7 linked regions of the Neurospora crassa OR74A genome follow. The protein of the gene in region 1 purifies or fractionates together with the protein of each later gene. This does not show direct contact. Links are inferred from orthologs where the notes say so. Each region holds a gene or a part of one and is shown on either strand. Other genes may lie near its edges.

Region 1 (4,405 bases):
CAGTAACAGACTGAGACTTGAACATGCCAAAGTCGGGTTTGTCCTGATCCTCGCGAGGAATCATAGACTTGGGAAGCAAGGCGGTCAACTTGCCACCGAACTGGACGAAGACAGCCGTAGCAGTGATGTTGCGAATATAACCAGAAACCTCATCTCCGACGCGAGCACCATCAAGGGTAGTAAGGAACTTGCCTTCCTTGCTAGCCTTGACAAGGCTGGGCTTCTGGGAGAGAATGATGGAACGGCGAGCCTCGTTCTTTTCCAAGATCACCAACTCGGCAAGAGTCTGGTTGACGTGAATTTTCTTGAGGGCAGACTGAGTCTTGCTGACCGACTTGTCCGTCAAGTGAGCGACGGGGAGGATGGCCTTGAGAGAGCTATCGGCAAGCTCAACAAAAACATCGTCGTCAGTTTTCTGCGTGACCTTAGCCGACACCACATCACCGATCTGAAGCTTCTTGAGGGCCAACTGCTTCTCAAGACCAAAGGCAGATGGGTCCTTGCAAGAAACAATAAGCTTGGCGGCATCGGGGTCGAAGCTGATGACGTAGATGCTGACAGTCTGGCCAACGCGGAAGTGCTCCTTGGGATCCTGAATGTAGGCCTCGCTCATCTCAGAAACTGGCAAGAAACCACGGAGCCTGCCGTAGAACTGCACAATCGCACCGTGCTGCAAGACGTTGATGATGGTACCGAGCGCCTGTTGGCCAACAGCAATTTGCTCATACGATTGGATGGCAGGAAGATCGGAATTGACGAGCGTCTTCTTGAGAGTAAGGCGGATCTGGCGAGAGGCAGCGTCAGTCGAGAGCACACGCGCCTTCACCTTCAGGCCTTCCCTGAACTTCTTCTCGGGGTTCTGAAGGTGAACGTCAGCGAAGTGCATCTCGGGGACCAAGCCAGAGATACCGTCAGCAATCTTGACAATAAGGCCACCAACACCGGCGGCGTTGACCACCATCTTTTCAACCACACCAGAAACAACTGCACCGACAGGAATGTCCTCGATGCGAAGGAATGGCTGCTCAAGAACACTCTTCTCCAAGGAAATGAGATACATGCCATCAAAGGCGTTGTAGCCGACAACCCTACCAGCGTGAACAGATCCCACCTTATAGGGTCCGCTGTTCTCGAAGAGGGCATCAACCTTGCCATCCTTGACGCGGGAGATGTGCACAAACCCAGACACGCCCTCGACACCAACATCGACGTAAAGACCGATCTCAGGCTCGACCTGCTTAACGGTGCACTTCTCCACGATCGTCGAGTGAGGGAGAGCCTGCAATGGCACCACTGGTTGGTCGTCCTTGGAAGCAGTCTTTGGCTTCAACGAGGTAACGTGTTTTAGTACAGAGATACCCAGCTTGGGGTGCTTTGCAGTAGGGAAGTTGCAGATGACTCTGGCCTTCAGACGAGAGCCGACCTTGTATGTGTCTTCAAGATCGATGCCATCCGGACCAGCGCCAGAGTGAACCAGATCAGCGGTGACATCCAGCGATCCCATAATCTTGCCAACAATTCCGTGGCTGGAAACCTCGGACACGAGCACGTCGGCGGCAGTACCGGGGAGGAATGTGTCGATGGTGGTAGCAGTCGAAGGGACGTTCTCGACGTTGCCCATGGTTTCACCCAATGTGGACAACTGAACGACCTTGCCCTTGGCGTTCTTGGTGACGATACAGAGGAGGACGGCACCTGGCTGCAGAGCCTCCTGGGGGATGCTCTTGTCGACCTGCTTGCGAGCAAGGAAACCTTGCAACTTCGAATCGGCGATCTCGATGTCCATAACATAACCGTGGTCCTCCACACTGGCAATGGCGGCCATAACTGTGCTGTTCACAACAACGTCTTGCTCCGCCATACCGGTGTTGGCGAGAGAAGGTTGAAGGGAGAGTTCGATATGGCGCTTGGCCTTTCCAGGGGTGTGTGTAGAAGCCTCGTCGACCGTCGATACAACGTAGGCGCGGACATACTGGCCGATCTGGAAGAGGGATTCGAGGTCAACGTCGTTGTCGTTCTCGTCTTCTGACTCTTCGGCATTGTCGTTACCGGCGCTGGCCTCCAAGCGTTTTGTTAGGGGGGCGGAAATCGCAGTGATGGGGACATGGCCGATAATATTGTTGGGTAGAGCAACGGCGATGTCGAGAGAGTTGATGGCGCAGACGGAACCAAGGACCAAGGAGCCCTTTACCAGACGCTGCGGACAGTTAGTACTTGGATGATAGGACTGAACCCATGAGTGTTCCGGCGCATACCTTGAAGTTGAGACTTTCAACCTTGACGGCGTCCGCATCGGGCTTCGCGGGTGTGTCGTCGGACTTTGACCTCTTCTTGGACTTCTTCTGCTTGCCCTCCTTCTCACCAGCCTTCTTGGCGGTGGCCTTGCTGGATTGCTCCTCGAACAGGGCGTCGTTCTTGGCCTGGACTTGGATTTGCTTGTATTCGAGAGGTGTCAGGATGCTGGCGCCGCCTCTGGGGAACATTGGCTCCTCTTCCTTGAGCAGCGTAGATGTAGCCGGGGCGGTAGGAGCAGGAGGAGCAGGCTTGTCGGACTTGGGAGCCGGCTTGTTGCCCTGCTTGCCCGTCTTTGCGCCCGCCTTGCTGCCGGCATCGTTGGACTTTGGTCTCTTTGACGGTCTCGATTCGGAGGCTGATTGTGTTGATTTGTTGACTGGGGCGCCGCCCGGGCCTTCCTTGCGCTTTTGCGCACCCATTGTGAACTGATGGGTATAAAGAAAGGACCTGATGGATGGACGGATGTGTTTGGAGTTGCAATTGGAGAGATACCCGCACTGGATCCCTCGTCCCTTTGCCCGCCTTCACACTTCAGAATGAATCGACAAGCACTGACAAAAACTGACCCAGGCCGCTTCCACTGTCCGCTGCCGAAAATTTTTGGTGGGTCCGTCGCCGTTCACCGTGGCCAGATAACGATAAGGAATGCGGTGAGCATCGGCTACGATTCTGCCATCTCTAGGTACGCGGGCCGCGTGCATGTCGGTTCGTTGCGGGTTCTGAGTCTTGCGGGGTTCCCCTGTAGGGGTACTAGCAGCGCCTGTCTTGTGTCCACGAGTGCCACGGCGTCAGCTGACAGGACGCTGTCACGTTCATGGCCAGGTACGTACCGAACCTTTTGCACGGGCGGAGACGGGCAGCCAACGGGCCAGCCGCATGCGTTGCAGGGAAGTACACGGTAAGTAGAGGTAGGGTACTGAAGGCCGTTAGGTACCTACACCCTAGAGATAGAGGGGATTGCTGAGAACGTGCTATCAATGAGTTACCTATTGGCCATTGCGAGGTACATATAATTCTCCAAGGCGGGATGTACAATTGTCTAGAGGTACCTACCTACACTTAACATGTCGTCTGATGTTAGGATCGTACGGTATTGGAATATCATTCTAGTCTGATGGAAGAATGAATTTGATACTACACTAGACCATCAAGTAGGTACTTGTAATAACATCAGCATTCGTTCACATGGTCCCCCTCTCCAGGTAATAAAGTGTAGGTACTTCGTTACCTATCCGGTTCCCCTGGACTGTGCGCTACCTGGCAAATGACGTACATGCATCCGAGCTGGAGCCTTTGATAATGGATGAAAGCGCTCCCTCCCCGCCGGCGGTACCCGTGTAGTGTAAGTAGAAGTACACATCGGATTTGTAGCCTGAGCGGTGCCTCGTCGGCTTGTCGACTTGTCCCTACGGTATAGGCGCCACGCAATACTCGTCGCATGCCCATTTTCGATCCTTTCAACTTGACGAAATAAACGGCAATGTGGCCAAAGTTTGCCCTATAATCTTAGGGGACTGGAATCTGTTAGGTTGTTGGCCTTGCTCGCCATGGTCTTCACCATGGGTCGTCGAAAAAAGGCGAAACCAAACCCTCCAACCGAGCCGGCGGATGGTAGTGCTGTCACCGAGTCCTCAACGTCCACATCCGATATGCCGCCGAAATCGTCCTCGAGCCTAGCAGCCTCTATATGGCGTTCAAAAGCCGTTCCAATGCCGACCGCTTCGAACCCACCTTCGTCGACGACGACCTCGACACCTGATAATGCTCTATCAACATCCCAGCCCAATGCGACCGCAAATACAACTCCTATTTCGAGCAAGCGAGGGCTGAAAGAGGTAGCCTATTTCTCTTCAGCCACCATATCCAGCCTGTTTAATGCCTGTTACACCCGATGCTAACAGACTCGCAGCCCCAGAAATCTCGGAGTTGGTATGGCTCATGGCCACGCAAATCGACACCCTCGACACAAGTCGCCCGTGAAACAATCATGGGCGGAACACTCAGATCAAAAAAGCGAGCAGACTTTAGCCGTTTTGACACAGAAAGAAGCACGGATAGTGTCAGTCTCGATGGTGCAGCTTCATCTTCGTCTCTTCCAAACATGTTACCA
Region 2 (2,512 bases), on another chromosome or scaffold:
GGCGGTCATAATTCGCCCGGCAATCGCCCTACTAGTGGTACGGTTCCCGACTCCCGTTGAGTATCCGCGCCTCACTCTGCCGCTAATGGCTTCGCCGTTGACTGCAAGCCAGGGATTGGTTAAGCTGGTCGATCCCAGCTTGGTTGGATATATGTAGAGGCGCAGCAGCAGTAGCAGCAGCCGTCTGTCTATTCGGTCAACAAGAGAGTTGACAATGTCTGATAGCATGAACGTGAGGTGAGGCTGGAACGACATGTCATTAACTGTTCAGCTCAACAGGTCGCAGAAGGCATGATTTCCACCCATATCTGTCCATCTACCTCATTGTGGAAAAATATCGTGGAGTTTTTTGTGTTTCTGGCTCAGCCTTGACCACTCGTCGTTTTCGGATCGTGAATGGCTTCCAACTCGTTAGGATCTCATGGCCACATTGTCTTTCTTTGGCCACTTCCGTTTCCACCCAGTCCCCTCCCCTTTGCCCAAACATTTCGGTCAATGATGTGGGGGCGATTTTTGTTGATACGCGGAAATGGGCACGTTTAGATGTTTCGAAACCCACTAGGTAACTAGTAAACTCACCACGTCAAAACAACACTGCACACAGCCTCAATCTTCCACAGCCCGGCGACCCGCTTTTGAGACCTACTATGCTCTCGGAAAAGGGAGCCGAAAAGTGAACCCTGATGGGATTTCTAGTAGGAAAGAATACATCGTTTTGACAAAGTATCATGTGAGTGACTGCCGAGGAAGAGCCTCATCAGGAGGCCTCTGGGGTGATCATATCCACATGCGCCTCTAAGCGCGCGCTTGAAGAGGCTGTGTATGAGAATACAGTTGGAGTGGACCAGACATATCTGTCTTTTTGGGGGCCGTATCTGTGAGGGCGCCTAGGCTGGAACGGAGTCGAATTGGCTTTTTGATGTGTTATGGGATTTTTTTTCTTGTTTTTCTTTTGTTTTCATTACTTCACCTCCTTCTTCGAGCTTTGACACATGATCGTGGTGATAGTTAGAGGCAGCCAACTGAAACAGCAAGCCGAAATCATCGGTCCTGAACAGCGGGATCACCGATAGTCATCCATGGCTTCAAAGATGCGATCGATGTCAAGATCGCAATGACACATGTCGCCTTGACATCCATTCTTCCAGCCTTCGATCAACTGAGAGGTGCGTGAGGCTCATTTTGCGGCCGCCGGAAACCTGGAGCTGGGGAGACACGGGGACCCTCATAGACGACGGGACGGGAATCTTGATCTTACTCGGAACCAACCGATCGACCCAACTACCAACTGGAGCGGAATCTAGGTCATCAGCTTATGATTCTCTTTGCCTCTTCCCCTCAGAAGAAAAGGCGCGTGCTATTGAGAATGTAGCAAAGGAAAGAGAGAAGAATGAAAAGAGTCGTAGAGTGCCCGACTTCCCCGATGAACACAACACCATCGTCTACGGCGCCTATAGCGTCTAGAAACCACCACAAAGAGATGTGGATTGTCTTTGAAAGTTTACAAAGTTCAGACTGGGCAAAATACATACTGATCAAGCATCCGCCCGGGACCTGAGTACCTGGGAAATACTTTCTCGCCGATTTCGCTGGTTAGGGGTTTTCGGGGTCCAGTGATATTGTTATACGATAACGTGCGGCGGTTGTTAGTTGTTTAGGTCGCTTATATATTGTTCGTAAGTCGTAACTAACTATGTAGTTAGTCGTTGGGCCAGCGCTGGAGGTACAGTATGGGTGGCACGAGGGGGGGAAGTGATTGAAGAACGGCATTGTTTGAATTATAGCCGCGGGACGGACACGCCGACCGAAGGGCAACTCCATACTGCTGTGTTTCCTTGTCTTCAGTCATTTTCTTGTTATTTGTTGTTTGCTTTTTCTTTTCTTTTTCTTCAGATGAGGCTCCGCCATCAATAGCGATAACCGGAATTACATAGTTTCGTTGAAGTGTTGAAAGTTCCAGGTAGGGATGAGTACCATGATGAAATTGGTGGGTTGGGTAAACATCACATGTAAACAACATCAGGAGTAGATAATGTACGTACTGAGGGTTGGCAAATGATGAAATGATCTTAAAACTCCTACTAGTAGATGATATGATAGACATGGTATCTCCAACCCATGATCCAAATATTGCACTTGCACTGAACGCTGATGATGATGTATACATGACAGCAACAACAACGGCACTAACAACAACACGGCCAACCACAAACTTACTCCGACTGCTACCCCCGAACCTTCTAAGAAGTAGCCATTTACCTCTTGTTCTTCTTGAGCCTCGCCGCCTTCTCCCTTGCGTACTCGTTCGCCGCCTGGCCTTCCGATCCCTGGATCTCCGCCACCAAGCGCTTGTACTTCTTCTCGTACGCCTCGTCCTTGGCCTTCTTGACCTTGAGGTTCTCGCGCTGCATGAAGGCCGCGTCCTTGCGGAGCTCCCTGAGTGCGCCCTTGCGCTCCTTCTTGTGTTCGGCCCGCAGCTTGGCCAGCTCGGCGCGCTCGCGGTCTGGGTCGT
Region 3 (4,052 bases), on another chromosome or scaffold:
AATAAAAGGGGTAACAAACCTTCTTAACCCGTCCCTCCTTGATAATCACCCCCTTGAGCTTGAAATCCTTCCTCTTCTCCTTCTTGACGCCCTCCACCTTGGTGACGAACCGGCCTGTGTGCCTCTTCTTCTCGCGGTTGGAGATGCCCTCGCCTACCCAGCCGCCCCAGCCAGGAAGCGTGTTGTCGATCTCCTTGTCGTCGTCTTCCTTCTCCACTTCGGCCTTTTCGCGGTTAAAGTCGCCTACGACGTCCTCGCCTGCAAAGGCACGCTTGATGAGTTCTTGATCGCGGATGGCGAGGGGGAGATGGATCGTTTCTTCGTCGTCGGAAGAGGAGTCGTCGTGGGTGGTGGTGGCGGGAGCAGAGGACTTCTTGTCCTTGGCTGCTGCGGCGTCCTTGGACTTGGGCTTGGGCTTGGAGGCGAGCATGGCGGCGTTGGAGAGGTCCAACTCGCCGACGGAGACCTTGGCGGCCTTTTTGGTGCTCTTGCGACCTTCTTGGGGAGCCTTGGACCAGGCACCGGCGACGGAGGCGGCGAGGGAAGTGTCCTCGACTTGGGTGGTGGCTGCTTGTTGTGGTGTTACTTGGAGATTGGACATGTCGTTTGTGATGTTCTTCTTCTCCTTCTTCTTCTGAGCAGCCTGCTGGCCGGGGAGTATGATCTCCGTCTTGCCCATACCGAACTGCCTCCGACCGATGTCCGTCTCTTCGACATCGTCAGAGTCGTAGTCGGAATCGAGGTCTCGGCGAATCTGCGCAATCATCTCATCGTTCTCCTTCCTCTTCTGGGCTTCGCCGCGTTGCATGAACTTCATCTGCATCAGCCCCGACTCGACCTCGCCATCCGCGTAGGAAGCAGCGTGCTCGAGCTGTTCCAGCAACCGTTTCTTGTTCTTCTTCTCATCGCCAGACTCGGCAGAGTAATCGTCGGAACCACTGTCTTCAGAATCCTCCTCGCCCTTTCTGCGTCCCTCGATCCGGCGGCGCAGCTCCTCCTTCTGGCGAGCAGCCTCTGTCAACCCAGCGCGGAAGTTGTCGTCCCACACTGCGCGACCGGCCTTCTTGCCGAGCTTGGCCCACTTGCTGTCCCGGTGACGAGTACCGACGCGCTCGAGGGCTCGCCTCCTGTCCAGAGCCTCGCGCTCCTCTTCTGAATCAATCTCTCCCGCCTCAACCATGGCATCATGCATCTCCTGCTCGTCGTGGAGCAGCTCCTTGCGATGAATGCGACGGTACGCCTTGGACTTGATCTTCTTGATGCGCTTCTGGCGGGCCTGCTCGCGCGAGAACAGCTCACGCTCGCGGCGCTTCTGACGGGTGATTTCTTGCATCTCAGCGGCCGAGAGACCCTTGCGAGCGGCAATCTCCTCGACGTTATCCTGGTCCTCCTTCTTGGGCTTGTTAGTGGGTCCCAAGCCGGATTCCTCCATGATGGCCAAGATGGTCTGTTCGAGCTCGGTACCCGCCGTGGCCTTGGTCACGGGAAGGAGTTCTTGACTGTCGAGGCCGGCGTCGTGGGCATTTTGCGCGAGGGGGAAAACCAGGTGATCCGCACGGCGGTTGTGCTTGACTGTGTCGATCCAGCGCTCGAGCGTCTCGGAGGTCTTTTCGTAGGCGGCGGAGCGGAGGAGCTTGTCTTGTTGCCTCTTTGCGAGGGGGATGTCGAGCTTCTTGGATTGCCCAGGCTTGGCGGCCTTTTCCTCCTTGTTCATGAGCTTGAGAGACTTCTTCATGTGGGGGTCCTGGACGCCAAGGAGGCCGAGATCTGAGAGACTGAGTTTGTTTGTTGGTTTCGAGCCTGATTGCTCCTCGTCGTCGTTGTCGTCGCCCGCAAACCCGGAGATCATCTTTTGGAGGTCGTCGAGCTTGGAAGGGTCTTCCATATCGTCGTCACTGTCTTCGCTTTCGCTCGATTCGCTGTCCGCGTCGTCTTCCGATCCTGACTCCTCTTCGCCCTCCTCCTCCTCGCTGCTTTCATACTGATCCAGTGCTGTGGCGAGATCGATGGCGTCGGAACCGAGCGACTCCAAGTCATCGTCCTCATCTTCGTCCTCTTCCTCCTCATCACTGTCGTTTCCACCCTTCTTCGCCTTCTTGCCCTTCTTGTTGGAGCTGCTCCCGCTGAAGGCATAGCCATCGAACTTTTCCTCGTCGCTCTCACCAAAGGCCTCATCAGAGTCGAGTTCGGAATCTTCGTCATCAGCGCCTACACCAACGTGCCACTCCTCGCCATCGCTGTCCTCGCCACCGTCGGAGAAGCCTTCGAAATCGTCGCTGTTTTTGGCCTTCTTCTTTTGTGGCCTGGCGTCCTCGAGATCTTCCTCATCCTCGTCTCCGTCCTCATCGTCTTCGTCGTCGCCATCTCGTTGTCTCTTCTGGGGGCGCTCTTCGGGCTCGTCGAGGTCTCGTGTGCGGACGCCCTTGGCTTTCTTTTGGGGGACTTGTTCGGCGGCAATAGCGAAGGCGTCGAGGACGTTGTTTCTGGATTTCCTATCGGCAGTCTTGTTGTTGACTCTGTGCTTGGGACGCCCTCCGCCGCCCGACTTGGGCATTAGAGGCCTGCCGTGGGCTTGACGGCCGGGCATTTTGCTGGTATTTGAGAATTGACTGATTGGAAGTCGGAAGGTAATTCAGTCAATTAAGTTCGAGGTCGAGCAAGCAAAAATTGGGTGATGAGATTGTCGACGAAGTCCAGTGGTTGGATGGAATGAATCGATGGATGTCAATGTCCAACTTTTGCCTGCACGGGTCCTGGAGGTCGAAGTGGTCAGGTCCCTTCAACGGCAACTCCCACCAAGCCTTCAACTTTCTGCCAGTGAACAAGCTCCCCCGAAACTTTTTCTGCCGCCTCTGTAATCGATAATTTTCGGGCGGTGAGGGCGCAACACCCACCCATTTTGCGGGGCCGCAGCAGGCTACAGGGGTACCTGTTTCTCCCAGCCTCACGTCATTGGCTCAATTGAGCTCCAAACTTCTGAAATGGCTCCACCTCAACCCGGCGCGGCCCCGGACGTCTTTGCGATTTCTCGATTCCAACCCCGTCGCCCGTCGCCCGTTGCCCGTCGCCGTCCGTGTTGTCCAGCGCCAGTCCGAGTCCGAGTCCGAGTCCCGTCTCCGTTCCTGTCGCGTGCGCCGGATCTTCAACACTCTAAAGCGGATCCCGTCTCCGTCCCACTTGCGCCCACCTCAACCACCCTCACCACAGCGAGGTGCTTCCACCACCCAGATCACCGACCACAAAAAGCAATTCTCCGTCGTCGTTGCCCCGCAAAGCGCAATCCTCCTAGCCCACCATGCAGCCCACTCGCATCCTCCAAGGTCTCAAGTACCGCAAGTTGCGCCTGACCACCAAGGACGTCAACAAGGGTTTCTACAAGGGTAACCGCACCGGTTCCATGGGTACGCACACCAGCTACGGTACCTACAAGATCGACTACACCAAGGTCCGCACCTATGTGTGCCCGGACCTGACCGGTTTCAAGGTGGGTGGTCCTCTATTTCCGTCCGGGTTTGGGGTTGGAATGGGATGTGTTGGGGGATCTGGTGCTAGGGGAGGGACCGAGAATGGAGGACAAAAGAGAATAAAAAAGAATTATGCTAACAAGATCCAACAACAACAAAGCTCACCCCCTTCGTCTCCAAGACCATCCGCCCCGTCCACGACCAGTTCCCCGGCGACAAGCTCGGCCCCAAGAACCCCGCCACTTACCTTGCTCGCTGGAAGTCGGAGAACGGTCTCGACTAAACGGTCGTCATTTTTTCAAGGAGGGAGGAGGAGGACATTACGATACCAGACCACGGCGAGGAAATGGAGCGAGGCTCACTCAACTATCAAACTACCAAACGCAATATATACCCAAGTTCTGATTACATTCCGAAAGCCTGCCGACACAGACCCGTTCGAAGGACCACGAGCCACTCTCCACTGTACATTATATGACCTGACCACCAGGAATCAACCACCTAGCAGCTCCACTGTTCTGGGTCATATGTGAAATTGGAACATGTCCAGGTTCTCTGCCTTTGGAGTCGCCACGCTGCTACCTAGGC
Region 4 (3,874 bases), on another chromosome or scaffold:
GGTTTATTGACGTGTTGCTGTGGTGGAAAACAAACAGGCAAAATCGCAGCTCAATGCTCCCACGCCACCCTCGCCTGCTACAAGCGCCTTTTCTCTGCCGCCCAGCTCGAGCCCCTGTCGCTGTCGGCCCGCCTGCTCCGTCAGTGGGAGCGCAACGGCCAGGCCAAGATCGCCGTGCAAACCAAGACCGAGGATGAGATGCTGGAGCTGATGGCCAAGGCGCGCAGCTTGGGCGTCACTGCTGAGGTGATTCAGGATGCTGGCCGTACGCAGATTGCCTCTGGGTCCAGGACCGTGCTGGGCGTTGGTCCGGCGCCTAAGAGCTTGGTTGATGAGATCACTGGTCACTTGAAGTTGCTGTAAAGGGGGAAGACTTTGTAGCGGGGAGAGGATGGAGAAAGTGTGTTATGTTGACGGTAGCATGAACGTAGATACAAAGAGAAGGACGAGAAGCACGAAAAATGGCGTAACGGGGACGGTATAAAAGTATCATTGGGCTTAGAGAGCGATACAGTCAGGTAAAGACTTTGATGCATGTAAGGCGTAGGTCTTGATTTTTACTTTTGAATAGATTATCAAGCAACAAGATGAGTCTCCACATACACGTAAGCATATCAAGTAAACAAATATAGTATCAGCACAGCATCCGGTCGACTGACCGTCTTTGGTTTCATTAAGTGACTGATTCTGGGTATCATCATGTACTCTGTTCTTCCACCCCTCCCACCAATTTTCATGCTCTACTCTTTCCTCGCAAACCTGGCCAGCGTAGGCCCCAGCTCGGCCACCTTCTCCTTGTGCCTCTCCCCGTTCTTCTCCTGCATCTGCTTGTACATCTCCTCGGCCTTGAGCCGCTTCTCGTCGATAATGTTCTTCTTCTTCTGCTTCCGCAGGTACTTCTTGAGCGCGCTGTTCTTGCCTCTGGCCCGGTTGCGCATCTCCTCCTCCAGATCCGGCGGCCCGGCGTCCAGATCCTTGTCCGCCTCCCGCTGCTTCGCCGACCGCAAATCGAGGGTGCCGATAAAGTTGGGGTCGAGCGCAATCATCTCGGGCGCGAGCTTGTTGAGCAGCTGCTTGACTTCGCCCTCCTGTCTCTGCTTCTTGGTCTCGTACGGGTTGACTTCCAAGGCGTCGAAGTTGGCCTCGCCGGCGCCGGGGATGATGAGGGACGAGAACCCTTCGCTGTGGCCGACACCGAGAACATCGTCAAAGGGGCACCACCGCACCCGCTCGACGCGCTTGCCCTCACCGCCCCACGTCATGTAGGGAGACTGGACCTTTTCTTGTACCGGCTTCTCCTTCGAGAAGAGACCCTTCCAGACCGTTGTCCTGGTGCCCCAGCCGACAGCGGTAAGGCCGGTATCTGAGATGGCGACGGACGAAGCGGGCGCCCGGGTAAAGTAGTTGTTGACCTCCTTGAACATGCGGATATCCCAAACGGCCATCTTGCAGTCCTGTCCTGTTGTCACCATGTAGCGGCCTTCGCGGTCGACAGCCATGGATCGTACGGGACCACGGTGGGCAAGGAGCTTGACCAGAGGTTCTGACGAGTTGGGCGACCATAGCGTTACTGTGCCGTTCTGGTGACCAACATGGAGGATAGCGTTCCAGGGGTTTTGTGTCATGGAAACGGGTGTGCCCAGCTTCGTTGCGATTTCGGTGACGATCTGACCGGTCGATGTGTCCTGGTACTTGAGCTGGCCGTTTGTGCCCAGGGTGGCCAGCAGGAAGTGGTAGGGGAGGAATTCGAGGTGGGAGACTTCGACGTGTTTCCTTAGGCAGTGGAGCTCGACGCCCTGCGAGTCGTAGATGTAGGTGTACTTCTTCTGAGCGACGGCAAAGTATTGGTTGTTGTGTAGCCACTTGACGTCCCTGATGGTCTCTCCCAACTGCAACTCACAGCCCAGCTTGCCGTCTCTCCAGTCCATCGTAGCGACATGGCCCTTTCGTCCTGCCAGAATCAGATCCCGGCCATTCCTCGAAAAATCGCAAATGTAAGGGCCTAGTTGGTCGAGCTTCAAGTCGAACTTTTTCTGGGCGACCTCAATGTTGACTTCGCTGACGATGTCCTCCTGGCGAACCTTGTATGTGCGTTCCTATCGTGACCAGCGCGGTTAGTATCGCGCAAGAGGCTATAAACTCCCAAGCCATGGCTACTCACAAGCTCATGTTCAGCCTCGAGGAAACCGCCGGCATTCTCGAGAAGGATTTCGGCCTCCTTGGCCTTTAGCGTGGCCGTCTGGTACTTTTCTTCGAGGTTGGTAAGGTTGCGCTTGAGCTTTTTGTCCTTGACGTTCTTGACATCGATCTTGCGACCACGGCCGTACGACTTCTCTGCTGCCTTGACTTTGCGGATCTTGTTGGCCTCGGCCTTTGATCGGAACTCGCTTCGGACGTTGTTGATGGCAACGGCGCCGCTGGGCTGCTCTGCCCTCGAGAGGGAGATTTCGGCCCTGTCTGTAGTCTCCATGGTGCCAATGGGTCGACGCGACACAATGGGAATGGGTAATATGTGTGGTGGACTAGGACAGTTGGATCGGCGACGGGATATGGATGGGGGCTGAATATGGAATTGGTCTGGCGGTTTCTCGGTGTGCCCGTGTCTGTCCCTCGCTTTGGCACTTTGAATGTTTCCTTTCCTCGACAACTTTTTTGGGGCCGGACCCACTAAAAAGTTGGATGGGGCAGCTGTTCCGCAGCGATCATTGGCTCCACTGCGTACAAGAGTCCGATAAGATAAGTAGCGAGACGGCCGCCCATGTTCGCACAACTCAAAAAAATGCAACGAGTGCCCCGCCATTGACATTGTCCCCATCACTTTATTCGATACTCGATAGACGGATTGTGACCAGAGAGGTTCTCGAAATCTCTTTTCAGTCCCAACCCCCCAGCCTCTTCTCTTCATCGCCTCCCCAGGTCCAACATCCTGGCGTCAAACTCGCTCCCTTTTCGGTTCAAAGCAGGCGGCGATTCCAGCAATATGCCCGGCGCCGTGAGCGGCCACTCGCATCGGCCGACGACCAAGGCGTCGAACAAGCCCTTCAAGTCACGCCATTCTACCAAGGGTGCTCTCCGGAATGCTGCCAAAGGTACGGATTGCATATAACAGCCGTGCCTCATGCCAAGGTTGTTGCCTTGGACTATGCTCTACTTCACCCAACTTTGGCGCACCAAGCCCAAGCAGACATGAATATACAGCTGCATATAAAGAGGTCGACAACGTCCACACAGCGCTAATACTTTCAACATTCTATAGGCAAGGTAGCCGAGGAGAGAGGTGTGCGCAAGACCCCCCATCAACAAGTCATGTCCAAGTTCGACCGTCGCAACCGTAACAAGCAGCTTCAGCTGCAAAAACACAAGGAACATCTCCAGGAGACCTCCATTTTCGCCGGCAAGGATGGTGCCCCCAGAAACGTGGCCGTTATCCCCCTGTGCAGCGACGGTGACGCTACCGAAGCCATCAAGAGCCTGAACGCCAGCATTGATATCGAGACCGAGGTGCCCGAGGGCGCATTCCGCGTTCCCGTCGACAGATTCAAGCAGAAGCTTCAATACTTCCCCCTCAAGCGCGACCTTACCGCCTGCCTGGACGCTGCCAGAGTCGCCGACTATGTCGTTCTCGTTTTGTCCGCGCAGGAAGAGGTCGATGAACTTGGCGAGCTGATCTTGCGCAGCGTTGAAAGCCAGGGTCTCTCTACCCTCTTCACCGTCGTCCAGGGCCTCAACAAGATCGAGCCCCAAAAGCAGAGACTCTCCGTTCTTTCGTCTCTCAAGTCCTACATCACCCACTTCCACCCCGAACAGGATAAGGTCTTCAGCCTCGACAACAGACAGGAATGCTCCAACCTCATGCGCTCGCTATGCAGCACTA
Region 5 (4,207 bases), on another chromosome or scaffold:
GGGGGTACTGCCAGCCAAACCGGCACTGACCATGGTGAAGAACTCCTCAATAGAGGCGGTAGCCGCAGGAGCATCCGCGGGCATGTGAGGGACCTTGCTGTTATCGATCAAAGAGCCCTGAGCAGAAACCATCTTCTGGCCAAGGAGAACCAGAAGGTCGAAGGCGGTAGTGCGAGCCTTCTCGTTGTGCTCCTTGCAGCCAATGACAACCTCTGAAAGAATGGAGGGAATGAAGTGCAGGGAATCGTTGGGGATGAAGTGAATCAGAGCAGCAATGGCAGCCAGGCGCTCTCTCCGGGCAGGTGCCGACACCTTCTCAGAGCTGGACAGGAACAGGGTTTGGAGCTCGCCATGTCTCTCCTCGAGGGCGGCCTTGCCGATGGGGGAATCCGCCAAGCGAGGAATGAGCTTGTAAGCCTTCTTCTGCAGCTGAGGGTCATCATCCTTGAAGATGACCACTGAAGCGATCTTAAAAAGAGCCTCGAAGCTGGCACGGGGGAGGTAGATAGACATGGTAACGACCAGGTCCATGAGAGTGTGCGCGGCAGAAGGCATGTGATCGGCCTTCTGCTGTTGTTGGGGCTTCTTCTCAACAGCCTCTTGAAGAGCCTCGGCGAGCTTCTCGCACACCATGTCGAAAGTCTCGGTAAGACGCGCGGGAGGGATGATGCTGAGGTAGGCGTTGATGGTCTGGAGGACAGGGCCGCGCTTCTGGGGGAGAGTGGTGCTGTAGACGTTGAAGAGAACAGCGAGGAAATCAGCTGCAAAGGTGGCTCCGAGGTACTCCAAGTTCTTCTGCGCCTGCTCCTTGCTGACCCTGCCAAAGAGAATGAGGTCATCGACCTCATCGGAAGTGGCGATGGCCTGGTTGGACTCAACAACGGTCCTGAGGGCGCGACAAATATCCAAGCGCAGGTCAACCTGCTCATACAAAAGGTTGGTCAACATCTCAGCGAAGCCTGTGTCAAAGGCCTCGACAAGATCAAGTGGAAGGTCGCAGTAGCCGGGAAGAATCGACCAAATTTGCTGAACAACAGTCTCGAAAATCTTGATGTGAATGTTCTTCTCGCCCTGGTGCTCAATCACACGCTGGAACATGATAGCACTGAGAGGAACCAATTCGCTCTTGAAGTGTGCAAGATTGGTGTTGGAGGTGTAGTCACGGAGAAGAGGAAGCATCCAAGCTCTGCCAGGCTGACCCTTGACGGGCTTCGCGAGGTTCAGGGGAAGAACATTCAAGACCGCCTCAGGACCCATTGCACGAATCGCCTTGCCAAGGACCTCGTCGGCTTCCTGCTTTCCAGCGAAAGAATCGTTACCGCGGATTTCGCCGATGCTCTTGACGACGGAAAGGAGGTAAGGGTTAGCCTGCCACCGAAAGGCATCGAACATGGCACCAAGAACGTTGAAAGTCTCCATCCAGGCAGCTTGGTACTGGACGGTGAGAAGGCCCTCGACAACCTTGACTAGTTGCTGAATGACCTTCTCGTCAAAAATCGAAGGCTCAAGGATGGCCTCCTTGGGGACACAGTTGGCCAGGAAGGAGACCAAGCACTCGGACGCCGAAACGCGAATATTCTTGTGCTGGGACTCGAGGTATCCTGCAACCAGAGTGAAAGGATCGACCAGCTCTTGGAAGGTCTCGGCGGGCGAAATCTGACCGGCAACATCGTAGGCTCTCGACAGAATGGCGATCCAGGGAGGGAGAAGCTGGGTATCGTTGGGCGCGGGACGGAGCTCTCTGATGATCTCGAGCAGCCGAGGAAGCTTGGCGGAGGCAACCTCGTCGGCGGCCATGCCCTCGAACATCATCTCGAAGATCTCGAAGACAGCCATGCTCATGTGCTCGTTGCCCGTCCGGGCAATGCTGAGAAGGAGCTCGCACAAAGACTCAATGCTCTTGCTGGGCCAGCCACCGCTTCCAGAGGCGACAGCCTTGACGAGTTGCAAGGCGTGGATAAGCTCGGGATCGTGGGTAGAGTCGGTAGTCTTCTTTTCCTTCCTCTGGGCGGCGGCCTTGTCAGCGACAAGACGGAGGCTCTGCATGGCTGTCTCGGCGCACATGGGGGCGGCGGGGTGGTCGAGAGACGGGCTCGGCGGAGGGTTCTTCAGGATGTTCCTGAGCGCTTCCTGGGCTCTCTTGCGGACTTTGGGACGCGGGTCGAGGGCAAGGGCGAGGAGGCCGGCCACAGCCCGGCGGGGGCCAATCTGGGCGGTACCGAGCTCCCACTGTGTCGCATCTTGAGCAAGGAGCAAGCTCTCGAGAGAGCCGATCGAGGCCCTCATGAGGGGAGCATCGGCATCGGGGAGGGATAGTACTGGCGCGAGGATGGTGATGATCTGAGTGAACTTGGCCTGAAGAATAGGCTTTGGAGCGAAGGGAGTGACGACATCGAGGAGGTAGACGACGGGGGTCGCGAGGTTTTCGTTGTTGAGTAGACTGAGAAGGGCAGCGAAGTAGGCGGTAGGAGTCGCGGGTGTATTGCGCTCCTTGAAGGTGGCCTCGATAGCCTCGAGGACACTGGCAGTCTGTGGCTCAAGTCAGGGTCCATTGTCCACGATGGAGGCGGCCTTGCGACAGGCCACTGCAATGGCAGGCTGGAAGGAAGAGGGTAGGGATGCAGAAGACAAAAGATGGAAAAAGGAGAGATGCATCATGACTCTGGCTTACCTGCTTCTGGCTCTGGAGATTCGGAGACCGAATCTTGTCCAGTTTCTCCTGCAAAGACGGAGAAGAAGCCATCGTGAATGTGATGGAATGGCGCTGGAGTGGGACAATGCAAGCCGCTTCGCAGTGCTGAAATCGATGTCATGAAGAACAGAAAAGTTCGAAAAGTTGTCGCTTATCGGCGCGCACGCCCCACCCGCTGTCATTGATAAGGGTCTGGCGCTAGTCCGAAGCGGCTCCCAACTGTAACTCCAGGGTTAGCTATGGCATCTCATGCTTATAGAGGTACCTATGTTTCGCTTGGGCAGCCATCAAGGTTATGAGATACAACAATTCATGTTGGATCGTACGAACAACGCGTACCCACTAGGAACAAGTTTCTATTGCTTTAAGCCCATCTCTACCCCAGACAGCAGGTTTGTTTGGGTCTTCCGTAAATCACCAAAGCGTCGATGACCGTATTCATGATATGACAGTTCATCCCCCTCCCAACCAGAAAACGCCGGTACGATAACAAAGAAAAGAAAAAGGAAAGAAGGAAACCAGAAAGTGATAAATGGCTGTATATCACAAGTTCCTCCACCCTGTTTATGAAAACTCGTTGTCTGCCTCCTCAAAGTTGTTCTTGATCTGGAGAAGAACAGCCGCCTTCCAGTCATCGAGCCGGCTCATCTTATCGTACGCGGCAAGCTTATCCTGGAACATCTCGAGGTTGTTGTTTGAGGCTGCTTCCAACAAGTCAACCAGGAGTTGGTATTCGCGCTGGCCCGTAAATGATGGGTCCTTCTCGGCATACTTGGTGATGTTACGCTGAGCAGTGACCATATCCTTGGTCGCCAAGGAGCAGAGACCGGCCTTGAGGAAGTACTCCTTGACCGAGTACCTCATCAGGTTGTTGCCGAGTGAAGCCTCCGCAACCTTCTCGAACTTCTCTATAGCGGCGAAAAAGTCGCCCGCGAGGGCAGAGAGGTCGGCCACCTTGAGCCACAGCTTGTTCGCAAGACTACACACAGCTGGTTAGAACGACCTGTTGGACTCGTAACATGGCGCAAAAGCCGTGGGCATTAATCACTTACGCGACAGCACCGTCGTTCTCATACCACTCGGCCGCAGTTGTATAGGCCTTGATAGCCTCTGGCTTATTCTGCAGCTCGTTTTCGTAGACCTCAGCCTGGTTCTCCTTGTGCGACGCAGCTCTCCGGAAGTTCCCCGCCATGGTATACTGCTTGATGGCAACCTCGACGCAGCGCACAGCATTATCCGGGGCATCTTTCCTATAGACCTTGAAGGCGTCCAACATGGCATTCGCCGCATCGTTGGGCTCCTTCAACTTCTCAGTGAAGATCTTGGCAGCTTCCTCGAAACACTTGCCGGCCTCGGTGTCTGGGTAGTGGGCAGAACGTTAGGACTTGCCGCGAGGTTCATATGGCCCGAAAGCGCATCGTGGGTGTTGATGATTGTGATGACGTACTTGACTTCTGCAACCTGAAAGCGTTGGCCGCTTGTATGTACTGATCCGCCGCATTTTGGTACTTGTCT
Region 6 (4,157 bases), about 840 kb from region 1:
GCATCGGCGTTTGACTTCCTGATTATTCTGCCAAAGTGGCCAACAATATGAGAAGAGGCTGGAGTTGGTTGTAGTGGCCAACAGAGTAACAACTGGAAGACAGGGCCAGATGTTAGGAAGGTCGAAAGTGCACAAGAAAGAGAAAAAAAAAAAAAAAAAGAGGATAGAAGAGAGGAAAGGGTGGCGATGACGGATTTTAGTAACAGGACGGGCGCTCCGCCTCCGGGGGGAAGGGGAGAGGGGGGAGAAGGGGAGTGTCTCTTCTCTTCAGGAAAGCATGAAGACAACTTGAACACCATCTGAGTGTCATGCAGAGTAACTGAGTAGGTAGCGAAGACGACGATGAACTCCGAGATGAGAGGAAGCATCGAGGATTGGTATAGCTAATTCTAACTTTGTATGATTTCTCCGTAACACCGCGATGCAATACGCCTTCTAAAATAGACTAAACGATACAAAACCCTAAACAGAACAAACAAACGTGACCGCCACTGCTTGTCCAACTATACTGACAACCGAAGTGGCAACGAAGCACTCTAGGCCTCAGCCTTCTCACTGTCCTTCTTGTTCTTGCTTCTCTTCCTCTTCTTTTTCCTCTCTCCCTCGATGATATTATCCGCTCCCCGTTCACCAGCAGCAATCTCCTTCTTCTCCTCCTTCTTCTCTTCCTTCTTCTCCTCTTTCTTCTTCTCGCCACTCTTCTTGTCCTTGTTCTCACCCCTCTTCTTATGCTTAATCGCACCCTCATCCTTCTTGCCAAGGGGCGTACCATCCTCGTCCAGCGCCTCGAACCCAAAGGTAGGACCAGTCGCTTCGAACTCCTTGCCAAACGTCTCGCGACGCCACTGCCTGAGACGGGCCTTCTTGCCAAGCTTCTTGCGTTCCTTGCGCTTCTTCTCGGCGTCGCGGAAAGTAGCCAGCTTCTTGAGGCCGGCGAACTCGTTGAGCGCGGCGTCCGAGGGCGCCAACAAGATATCGCGCGCCGTCATGCCGAACGAGACGGGCGAAGTCTCGCGGTAGCGGAACGGGAACAGGTTCTCCTTGTACTTCTTGTCCTTGGGGGCGGAAAGCGCGCGAGGAGTGTCGAGTTCCATCTTGGTGTCGACCAAAGCTTCAAGCTTGGCTAGTTCCGCCTTGGCTGCCCGCTTGGCGGCTTGCTTCTCCTTCTTGATGTCGGCGGTGGTCTTGCGCTTCTTGGAGGGACGGCCTTCATCTTCATCGGCGGAGAGGTCGGAGCCGAGGTCGGCGTCCTCGTCTTCGGCTTTTTGGTCGTCGCCGTTGGGCTTGGGGAGGTCTAGATCGGAAAGGACAACATCGGGAGCGTCGTCGAAGTCGGGGATGATGTCCTTGATGTCGATATCGTCGTCCCACTCGGGCTTCTTGGGCAGCTTCTTCTTCTTCTTCTTGGATTTGCCGTCCTCGTTGTCCTCGTCGTCCTCCTCGTCGCTGCCGGACACGTCGCCTTCTCCCTCGGCGTAGTACTCCTCGCCAAACTGCTTGCGCATCTCCTCTTCCCACCGGTCGTTGTCCCAGGCGTCCTCGAGGAACTTCATCCACTCCTCGTCGGACAGCTCCTTGCCGGTGAGACCGGCAGCCTTCTTGATCTTGGATAGCTTCTCGGCCGCCTCGTCAATCTTGAGACGGCGCAGACGAGCACGCTCCTCCTCGCGCTGCTTCTTCTCGGCCTCCTTGCGCTCCTTCTCGAGCTGTCTCTGCTTCTTTCTGCCCGTGAGCTCCTCCTTTCTGACGGACTTGGCGTTGGCCAGGTTACGCGAGTACGTCTTGAGCAACTCGTTGCTCTTGTTGGGGTCCTCGAACCGCATGTTGTAGGCGTGCTCGAACTCCTCGGCCATCTCGGGGAAGTTGTCCTCACCCTCGTCCGACTCGAAAGCCTCCCAGCGCGAGCCGTCGGCGGGCGCCCAGGCCTTGGACTGCATGAATTTGGAAAGGAACTCCTCGGGGTTCTTGTCAGCGTTCTTGACGTCGAGCTCGTTAAGATCGATCGCCTTGGCGCGCGACGGGTGAACGCCGTTCTCGGTAGGCGCCTCCTCCTTCTTGACGGGCTTGATGAAGGCGTCGTCGTCGCTCCACTCCTCGTCTTCGCCGACAGCGGCATTGATCTCAGACAGAATGTTCTGCTTCAGGTTGGCTTGTTCCTCGGCATAGGTCTTGGGCTTGGGCGCGTCATCTTCGTCGGCACCGATGTCACCGGCCATGTACCTCTCGCGGTGGTAGTCGCGCAGGGTCATGGGCTTCTCCTTCTTCTCCTTGACGGGCTGGCCGTCGGCGTCAATTGGCGTGTAGAAAACGGCCTCCTTGTCGTAGATGCGGGGGTCCCTCTTCTTGATAGCTTCTAGAGTGGCGTTGATTTCGGCGTCGAGGTCCTCGGTGACAAGGAAGCCCTCATCGTCTTCGGTCTCGTCTTCGGAAGAGTCCTCTTCGTCCTCGTCTTCGCCTAGCCCACCTTCCTTCTTGGACTTGAACTTTTCCTCGAGACGGTGGAGTTCCTCGCGCTTCTTGTTGTGTTCAAAACGGCGGGCGTACTCCTCATTGATCTTCAAGTCGGCAGCGGTACCGAGGGTGGCACCGCCGTCCTGCTCGTCTTCGCTGGAGGCATCATCGTCGAACAGACCCTTTCTAGGCACAATGGGATCGGTATTGGCGCCTGTGACTCTGGCTTTCGCCGCTTTTGACTTTGGGCGAGGCATCTTGAGGTGGGCTAGATTTGAAGATGCTAGGGCGAAGGGGTGGAAAGTCAATCCTGGCGCATAAAGGATGGAAGACTTTCGTTGCGACTTTGACGCCCCCAAATTTTCGAAGTGAACTTTTTAGTGGGGACCTTTTCGAAGTCCAGTCCCCGGGCTACAGCTGGCGGTACGTACTTGTAGTCCAATTTGCCTGCCACGAGATTGCGCACGGTTCACAAAGGCATACATATGTGGCTATGAGTCTTGGCATGGAGGGGAAGTTGGAGTCCACTCACAGCGCAAGCGAGGGGGGACATCGAGGACATGCGACGCCTGCCCGTGGCCCGACCGAATGCCTGCTGGATCCCGGCGAGCCTGGCTTTCCGACTGGAAGGGAACTAACTGAATGAACAAGCTCCATCCATCCATTTACTCTCATTGCTGCCGTCTACCTATCACGTCACACCTCACTCCGATTCCCAACCCATCAACGATCCATCTTCAGACATCTTTTGTCTTCCAACAGGCAGCCACCCAACGTCCTCCCTTCCACAACTGCACTGCTCTGTCGCTGTCGCATTATCAAAGATAGCCGTTCTTGCTATTGTCCCTTGCTGTAGTTGCTCGCTGCCGCAAGCCCCGCCGTTTCCACAACCCATCCACCCAGATTTGTAGCAACAATACACTTCAACGACAATGGCCGATACGAACGCGCCCAAGCCGAGCAGCAGCGTCAAGCTGGTGCTTCTAGGTGAAGCTGCTGTCGGAAAGGTGCGCAGTCTTCTGCTCCAAAACCACCATGCTCGAGAAACACATGCCTAACACAAATCGTTCCACAGTCGTCGCTCGTCCTCCGATTCGTCAACAATGACTTTCAAGAGAACAAGGAGCCCACGATAGGAGGTTAGTTCCTGAAGTCATGACGACTTTCTTTGCACCAGTTTAGCTGACACTTTTTTGCAGCCGCCTTCCTAACCCAGAAGTGCAACCTGCCCACGAGGACGATCAAGTTCGAGATTTGGGATACAGCAGGCCAGGAGCGCTTCGCCTCTCTAGCGCCCATGTACTACCGCAACGCCCAAGCCGCCCTTGTCGTTTACGACCTGACGAAACCTACTTCACTCATCAAGGCCAAGCACTGGGTCGCCGAGCTCCAGCGACAAGCGTCTCCCGGCATCGTTATCGCGCTCGTGGGCAACAAGTTGGATCTGACCAGCGACTCGGCCGGCTCTGCCGAGGCTTCCGGAGGTGGCGACGACAATGCGGAGGATTCGGGCGACGCACGCAAGATCTCGACGGACGAGGCCAAGGCATACGCCGAGGAGGAGGGTCTCTTGTTCTTTGAGACTTCGGCCAAGACCGGACATAACGTTACTGAGGTTTTCACAGCCATTGCAAACGCCATCCCCGAGACGTCGTTGAAGAGCGCGCGTGGGCCTGGTGCCTCGCATGCCGGTGTCAGCCGCACAG
Region 7 (3,739 bases), on another chromosome or scaffold:
GTGAATGGGACGGGGGTGATGGATGGGGAGGGGGTGAAGGGGAAGAGTGAGTTGGAGTTGTTGGATGAGATTTTTGGGCAGGAGCAGGAGCAGGAAGGTGAGGTAGAGGAGGTTGAGGGTGAGGAGGTAGATGAGACACAGGCAGAGGTGGAGGTAAAGCCGAAGGAAGAGAGCGTGGAGGATGTGATGAAGGCTGCGTTGGAGGCTGGGGATTTGGACTTTGATGAGGAGTTGACGCTGGGCAATAGCAGCAGTCAAGCGACGGTTGATGAGGAAGAGGTGGAGAGGTTGAGGAAGATGTCGAGAAGTCACTGAGCCGGCTCTCAAGCTGCTGGTCGAGTGCTGAACAAGAAAGGAAAGATGTCGACGATGCACCTATACCCCGAGACCGACTTGGCTACTTTTAGACGTTGGTAGATGAACCTTGTATAATCCTCAGAACAACCTGACTGGGCTCTGCAGAAGCCATCTAGTCTATGCTCCAGGTCAGTACAGTTTTCGCGTACAGTTTAGTTCAGAAAGAATCTGTCACGGCTGTTCTTGGCCTCGTCCCTGCAGATATCACAAAAATATCCTGTACAGTATTCACATTCCATTTTATCTATCCTGGGTATATCATAACAACCAAGTTCTGCTGCTTCCCTTCTCTTCATCAACAACCCCCTCTTTCCCGACCATTTTTCTTCCTCTACTCGGCATTCACACCCCTCCCCTTATTAATCTGCACCTTCTTATCCTCACCACCGCTGAAGATGCCCAGCTGATCCCACACCACGCTGAACACCTTGCACCCGTCGCCCGTCACACTGCTCTTCTTCTTCTTGCCCTGCTGGCTCTCGCGATCAATAACGTACACGGGCTCGCTGACGCTGCCCATGCCGCCCTCGTCCTTGGTCGCTGGCCGGACCGACCGCAAATCCCAGATCCGGCACGTCCCGTCGTGCGAGCCCGAAACCAGTGAGTACTCGTTCTCCGGGTTCGCCGCCAGACTGACCACCTTGTTGGCATGCCCACGCAGCGTCATGACGCTCGTCGCGGCCGTGCTGGTGCGCGGGTCGACGAGGGTAATGTGTCGGGCGGAGGTGCCGCAGGCGAGAAGGGGCGCCGAGGCCGAGGAGCGCGGCAGGGCAGCGAGAGAGAGGAGCGCATGCGAGGTTGTGAAGGTGCTGACCACGCTGGAGGTGGTCAGGTCGATGGTCTTGACGGTATGGTCCTGCGACACAGAGTAGGCAACGGTGCGGTCGCGGGGGTCGAAGACGGCGGCCGTGGCGGGCGCATTGTGGATGTTCATAAGGGCGAGCGGGCCGCGCTGGGCGGCGGTGACGGAGGTCGCGAGCTTGCGGCGCTTGGATGTGTGGGCGCCGGGAAGGAGCGAGGAATCGGAGACTTCGGGCGCGGACGCCTTGGAGGTGGTCCAGAAACCGATGGAACCGTCGGCGGAGGCAGTGAGGATGCGCTTCGAGGCGCCGTCAACCTCGAGCGAGTCGATCGAGGAGGTGTGGCCGTACAGTTCGAGAGTGGGCTTCAGCTCGCCGCGACGCTCGTACGACTCGCCCGACTCGGTGTACTTCCATACGCGAACTGTGCGGTCCATGCCGGCCGAGGCAATCTGAGTGCTGGAGAGGAATTTGGCAGCTTTTATGCTGGCAGTGTGACCACCGTGGCTGCCCGAGGGCGAGGTGCCAATCACATTTCCAGAGGCGTCCCATATCCTGAGGAGACCGTCGTACGAGGCGGAGAGGATGCGATCTTGGCCGCGCTGAAAGTTGTCGCCGGACCAGCGGCCCGCGGGAGAAGTAGCGGAAAGAACATCGACGGCGCTGACCCAGTCGTCGTGCTCAAAGCTGGCCTCGTATGTTGGTGGGATCAAACTGCGAACGTACTGAAGGGTGATGTTGGTTTCGAGCGAGAGGCCGTTGGCGTTGAGGTACTCTTCAAGACTGCCGCGGAGGAAGCTGCCGTTAACAAGGAAGTCGAAGGGGATCGAGTTGGTGTCGAGCATGGACTCGGAGTTGAGAATACGGGAGAGGCCATAACGGCGGATGTCGGCGGGGACAAGGAGCTGGCGCTTGCTCTCATCGAGCTGGATGTCCTCCTCCTGGGTGGTGAAGGTCACCCGGACCTGGGCGCCTGATTCGGTAGGGTGGTCCATGGCGGTGCCTGTGCTGTGATATTATGTGAATTGGGTAGTCGCTGTTCGGTATGGGCAGGCTGAATACTATCAATTGACAAGTAAAAGTCAGATTGGCTTAGATTACCGTGAAACAGGCGTCGTCGGGAGGAGAGTGTGGATGTTTACTTTGCAGCGGACACCACAAGGCCATGCCAAATCCAAGACTCCATCCAATTTTTTCTGTCCAGCCTTGCAGCGCAGGGGTCTGGAGTGTTCTAGCTACCCCACGTTCCCCTATCTTATCGGAACTTTATAGCGGGGCCGACGGTTCCTGTGAGGGTCACAGTGCTGAAGCGCCGCTACTATGTAAACTATACTAGTATAGAGTAGTACCGGTCATGTACCTGGCTTAATTGAACCCACTGGAGCTACGCGTCTCGAAATTGTCAAGCGCGTCGTCGAGTTTCGTCCCTTGAAGTCAGTTTCCGAGTCGGGCAGCACATGAATAAGTCACCAATTGCTTTTGTCGTTCTCACATCTTGAGCCATTGTCAGTATCAATCATACGATGGTCACCTTGGACGAAGTTCTCGGTAGCGGTTTGCTACAGAAGCCCTCGTGAGTAGCAGTGGATCATCCATCTTCCACTGGCGATCATCAGCTAACAACCCAACTTCACGAAGAGGCGATGCGCCCGAGGCTCTCCAGCGCCAGATCACCAACTACAAGCCCCTTCATACCTTCAAACTCGAAAAAACCCGTCCCTATCAACAACAATATGCCGATATTTACTTTTTGCGTCTTACAAAGATCAGGCCCGCCGTCGAGGCAGCCGCCAGCGCCGCTTGGGAGGGAACAGTGCTTGGTGGTGAGAAGGTCAAGAGGGTCGAGCGTGTCCTAGACGTTCGCCAGGGAGAACTATGCTGGGTAGCTGGAACAGTATATATGGACATGCCTCTAAAGCCCTCAATCCTCGAGGATGTCTCCAAGGATGTGAGTTTCAGCCTATCCTTTGGTGGACACCAGGCAGCTGACAATGATGTTATAGCGCTGGATCTCCGCTCCCACCTCGGTCGGCCACTACTACTCCGGCAACGGCGAAGACTCGGTAATGCTCGAAGACGACTCCGGCCGCATCCGTCTTGTCGGCAACGCTCTGCAAAACCACTTCATGGTGACCGGCTGCATCGTCGCGGTAATGGGCACCGAGAACGCCAACGGCGAATTCGAAGTCATCGACCTCCTCTTCGCCGAACTACCACCACAGCCCGAGCGCTGGTCGCTCTCAAAAGGCAAAAAGGAAGCAGACTCCTCCGAAGACGTCGAAATGATGGACGCCTCTTTCTCCAGGCAGTCCCACAAGCCCTCCTCTAAAAAGATTGCCCTCGTCTCCGGCCTCGAGTTCTCCAACGCCGACACCTCCTACGCCATGGAACTCAACCTGCTTCTCGAGTATCTCCTCGGCGAAGCGCTCGATCCCTCCGTCCAACGCGACGAGCTCTCACACATCACCCGCCTCATCATAGCGGGGAACTCCATCTCCACGACGGCGGCCGAACAGGCCAAACCCGCGGCTGCCTTCGACACCACCACCGTAACAAACAAGTTCCAACCACAAATCAAAAAA

Evidence for each region.
Region 2: the proteins of NCU06272 (region 1) and NCU07393 purify together in Saccharomyces cerevisiae (affinity purification with mass spectrometry; 3 studies listed by BioGRID). This does not show direct contact. The link is inferred for Neurospora crassa OR74A from reciprocal best matches to the Saccharomyces cerevisiae genes RRP5 and NOP14.
Region 3: the proteins of NCU06272 (region 1) and NCU07058 purify together in Saccharomyces cerevisiae (affinity purification with mass spectrometry; 3 studies listed by BioGRID). This does not show direct contact. The link is inferred for Neurospora crassa OR74A from reciprocal best matches to the Saccharomyces cerevisiae genes RRP5 and UTP14.
Region 4: the proteins of NCU06272 (region 1) and NCU01502 purify together in Saccharomyces cerevisiae (affinity purification with mass spectrometry; 4 studies listed by BioGRID). This does not show direct contact. The link is inferred for Neurospora crassa OR74A from reciprocal best matches to the Saccharomyces cerevisiae genes RRP5 and UTP7.
Region 5: the proteins of NCU06272 (region 1) and NCU01675 purify together in Saccharomyces cerevisiae (affinity purification with mass spectrometry; 3 studies listed by BioGRID). This does not show direct contact. The link is inferred for Neurospora crassa OR74A from reciprocal best matches to the Saccharomyces cerevisiae genes RRP5 and RRP12.
Region 6: the proteins of NCU06272 (region 1) and NCU06409 purify together in Saccharomyces cerevisiae (affinity purification with mass spectrometry; 3 studies listed by BioGRID). This does not show direct contact. The link is inferred for Neurospora crassa OR74A from reciprocal best matches to the Saccharomyces cerevisiae genes RRP5 and KRI1.
Region 7: the proteins of NCU06272 (region 1) and NCU03764 purify together in Saccharomyces cerevisiae (affinity purification with mass spectrometry; 3 studies listed by BioGRID). This does not show direct contact. The link is inferred for Neurospora crassa OR74A from reciprocal best matches to the Saccharomyces cerevisiae genes RRP5 and YTM1.

What each region holds. Positions count from the first base shown.
Region 1 is NC_026503.1:2,145,278-2,149,682, reverse strand, and holds the start of NCU06272 (mito ribosomal protein S16), read right to left. Parts: upstream 2,877-4,405; 5' UTR 2,715-2,876; coding exon 2,256-2,714; intron 2,198-2,255; coding exon 1-2,197. Other genes in the region: NCU06271 (hypothetical protein), read left to right, coding at 3,843-4,130, 4,205-4,405.
Region 2 is NC_026501.1:6,090,395-6,092,906, reverse strand, and holds the end of NCU07393 (rRNA maturation protein), read right to left. Parts: coding exon 2,256-2,512; 3' UTR 509-2,255; downstream 1-508. UniProt on the Saccharomyces cerevisiae protein: Involved in nucleolar processing of pre-18S ribosomal RNA. Has a role in the nuclear export of 40S pre-ribosomal subunit to the cytoplasm.
Region 3 is NC_026506.1:332,089-336,140, forward strand, and holds the start of NCU07058 (small nucleolar ribonucleoprotein complex subunit Utp14), read right to left. Parts: upstream 2,845-4,052; 5' UTR 2,588-2,844; coding exon 20-2,587; intron 1-19. Other genes in the region: NCU07057 (hypothetical protein), read left to right, coding at 3,296-3,484, 3,625-3,747. UniProt on the Saccharomyces cerevisiae protein: Involved in nucleolar processing of pre-18S ribosomal RNA.
Region 4 is NC_026502.1:3,252,877-3,256,750, reverse strand, and holds NCU01502 (small nucleolar ribonucleoprotein complex subunit), read right to left. Parts: upstream 2,621-3,874; 5' UTR 2,471-2,620; coding exon 2,162-2,470; intron 2,097-2,161; coding exon 741-2,096; 3' UTR 551-740; downstream 1-550. Other genes in the region: NCU01501 (mitochondrial peptidyl-tRNA hydrolase Pth2), read left to right, coding at 38-363; NCU01503 (pre-rRNA processing protein Tsr1), read left to right, coding at 2,981-3,089, 3,257-3,874. UniProt on the Saccharomyces cerevisiae protein: Involved in nucleolar processing of pre-18S ribosomal RNA.
Region 5 is NC_026502.1:2,739,592-2,743,798, forward strand, and holds the start of NCU01675 (90S preribosome component RRP12), read right to left. Parts: upstream 2,840-4,207; 5' UTR 2,744-2,839; coding exon 2,672-2,743; intron 2,530-2,671; coding exon 1-2,529. Other genes in the region: NCU01674 (alpha-soluble NSF attachment protein), read right to left, coding at 3,257-3,671, 3,745-4,051, 4,140-4,207. UniProt on the Saccharomyces cerevisiae protein: In association with GSP1, required for nuclear export of both pre-40S and pre-60S ribosomal subunits. Required for the late maturation of the 18S and 5.8S rRNA of the pre-40S ribosomes and for maturation of the 25S and 5.8S rRNA of the pre-60S ribosomes.
Region 6 is NC_026503.1:1,301,241-1,305,397, forward strand, and holds NCU06409 (ribosome biogenesis protein Kri1), read right to left. Parts: upstream 2,818-4,157; 5' UTR 2,709-2,817; coding exon 537-2,708; 3' UTR 341-536; downstream 1-340. Other genes in the region: NCU06410 (GTP-binding protein YPT52), read left to right, coding at 3,384-3,458, 3,527-3,590, 3,651-4,157. UniProt on the Saccharomyces cerevisiae protein: Required for 40S ribosome biogenesis. Involved in nucleolar processing of pre-18S ribosomal RNA.
Region 7 is NC_026505.1:2,340,043-2,343,781, reverse strand, and holds NCU03764 (microtubule associated protein), read right to left. Parts: upstream 2,347-3,739; 5' UTR 2,153-2,346; coding exon 689-2,152; 3' UTR 574-688; downstream 1-573. Other genes in the region: NCU03765 (3'-5' exonuclease/helicase), read left to right, coding at 1-315; NCU03763 (DNA polymerase delta subunit 2), read left to right, coding at 2,681-2,730, 2,796-3,105, 3,161-3,739. UniProt on the Saccharomyces cerevisiae protein: Component of the NOP7 complex, which is required for maturation of the 25S and 5.8S ribosomal RNAs and formation of the 60S ribosome.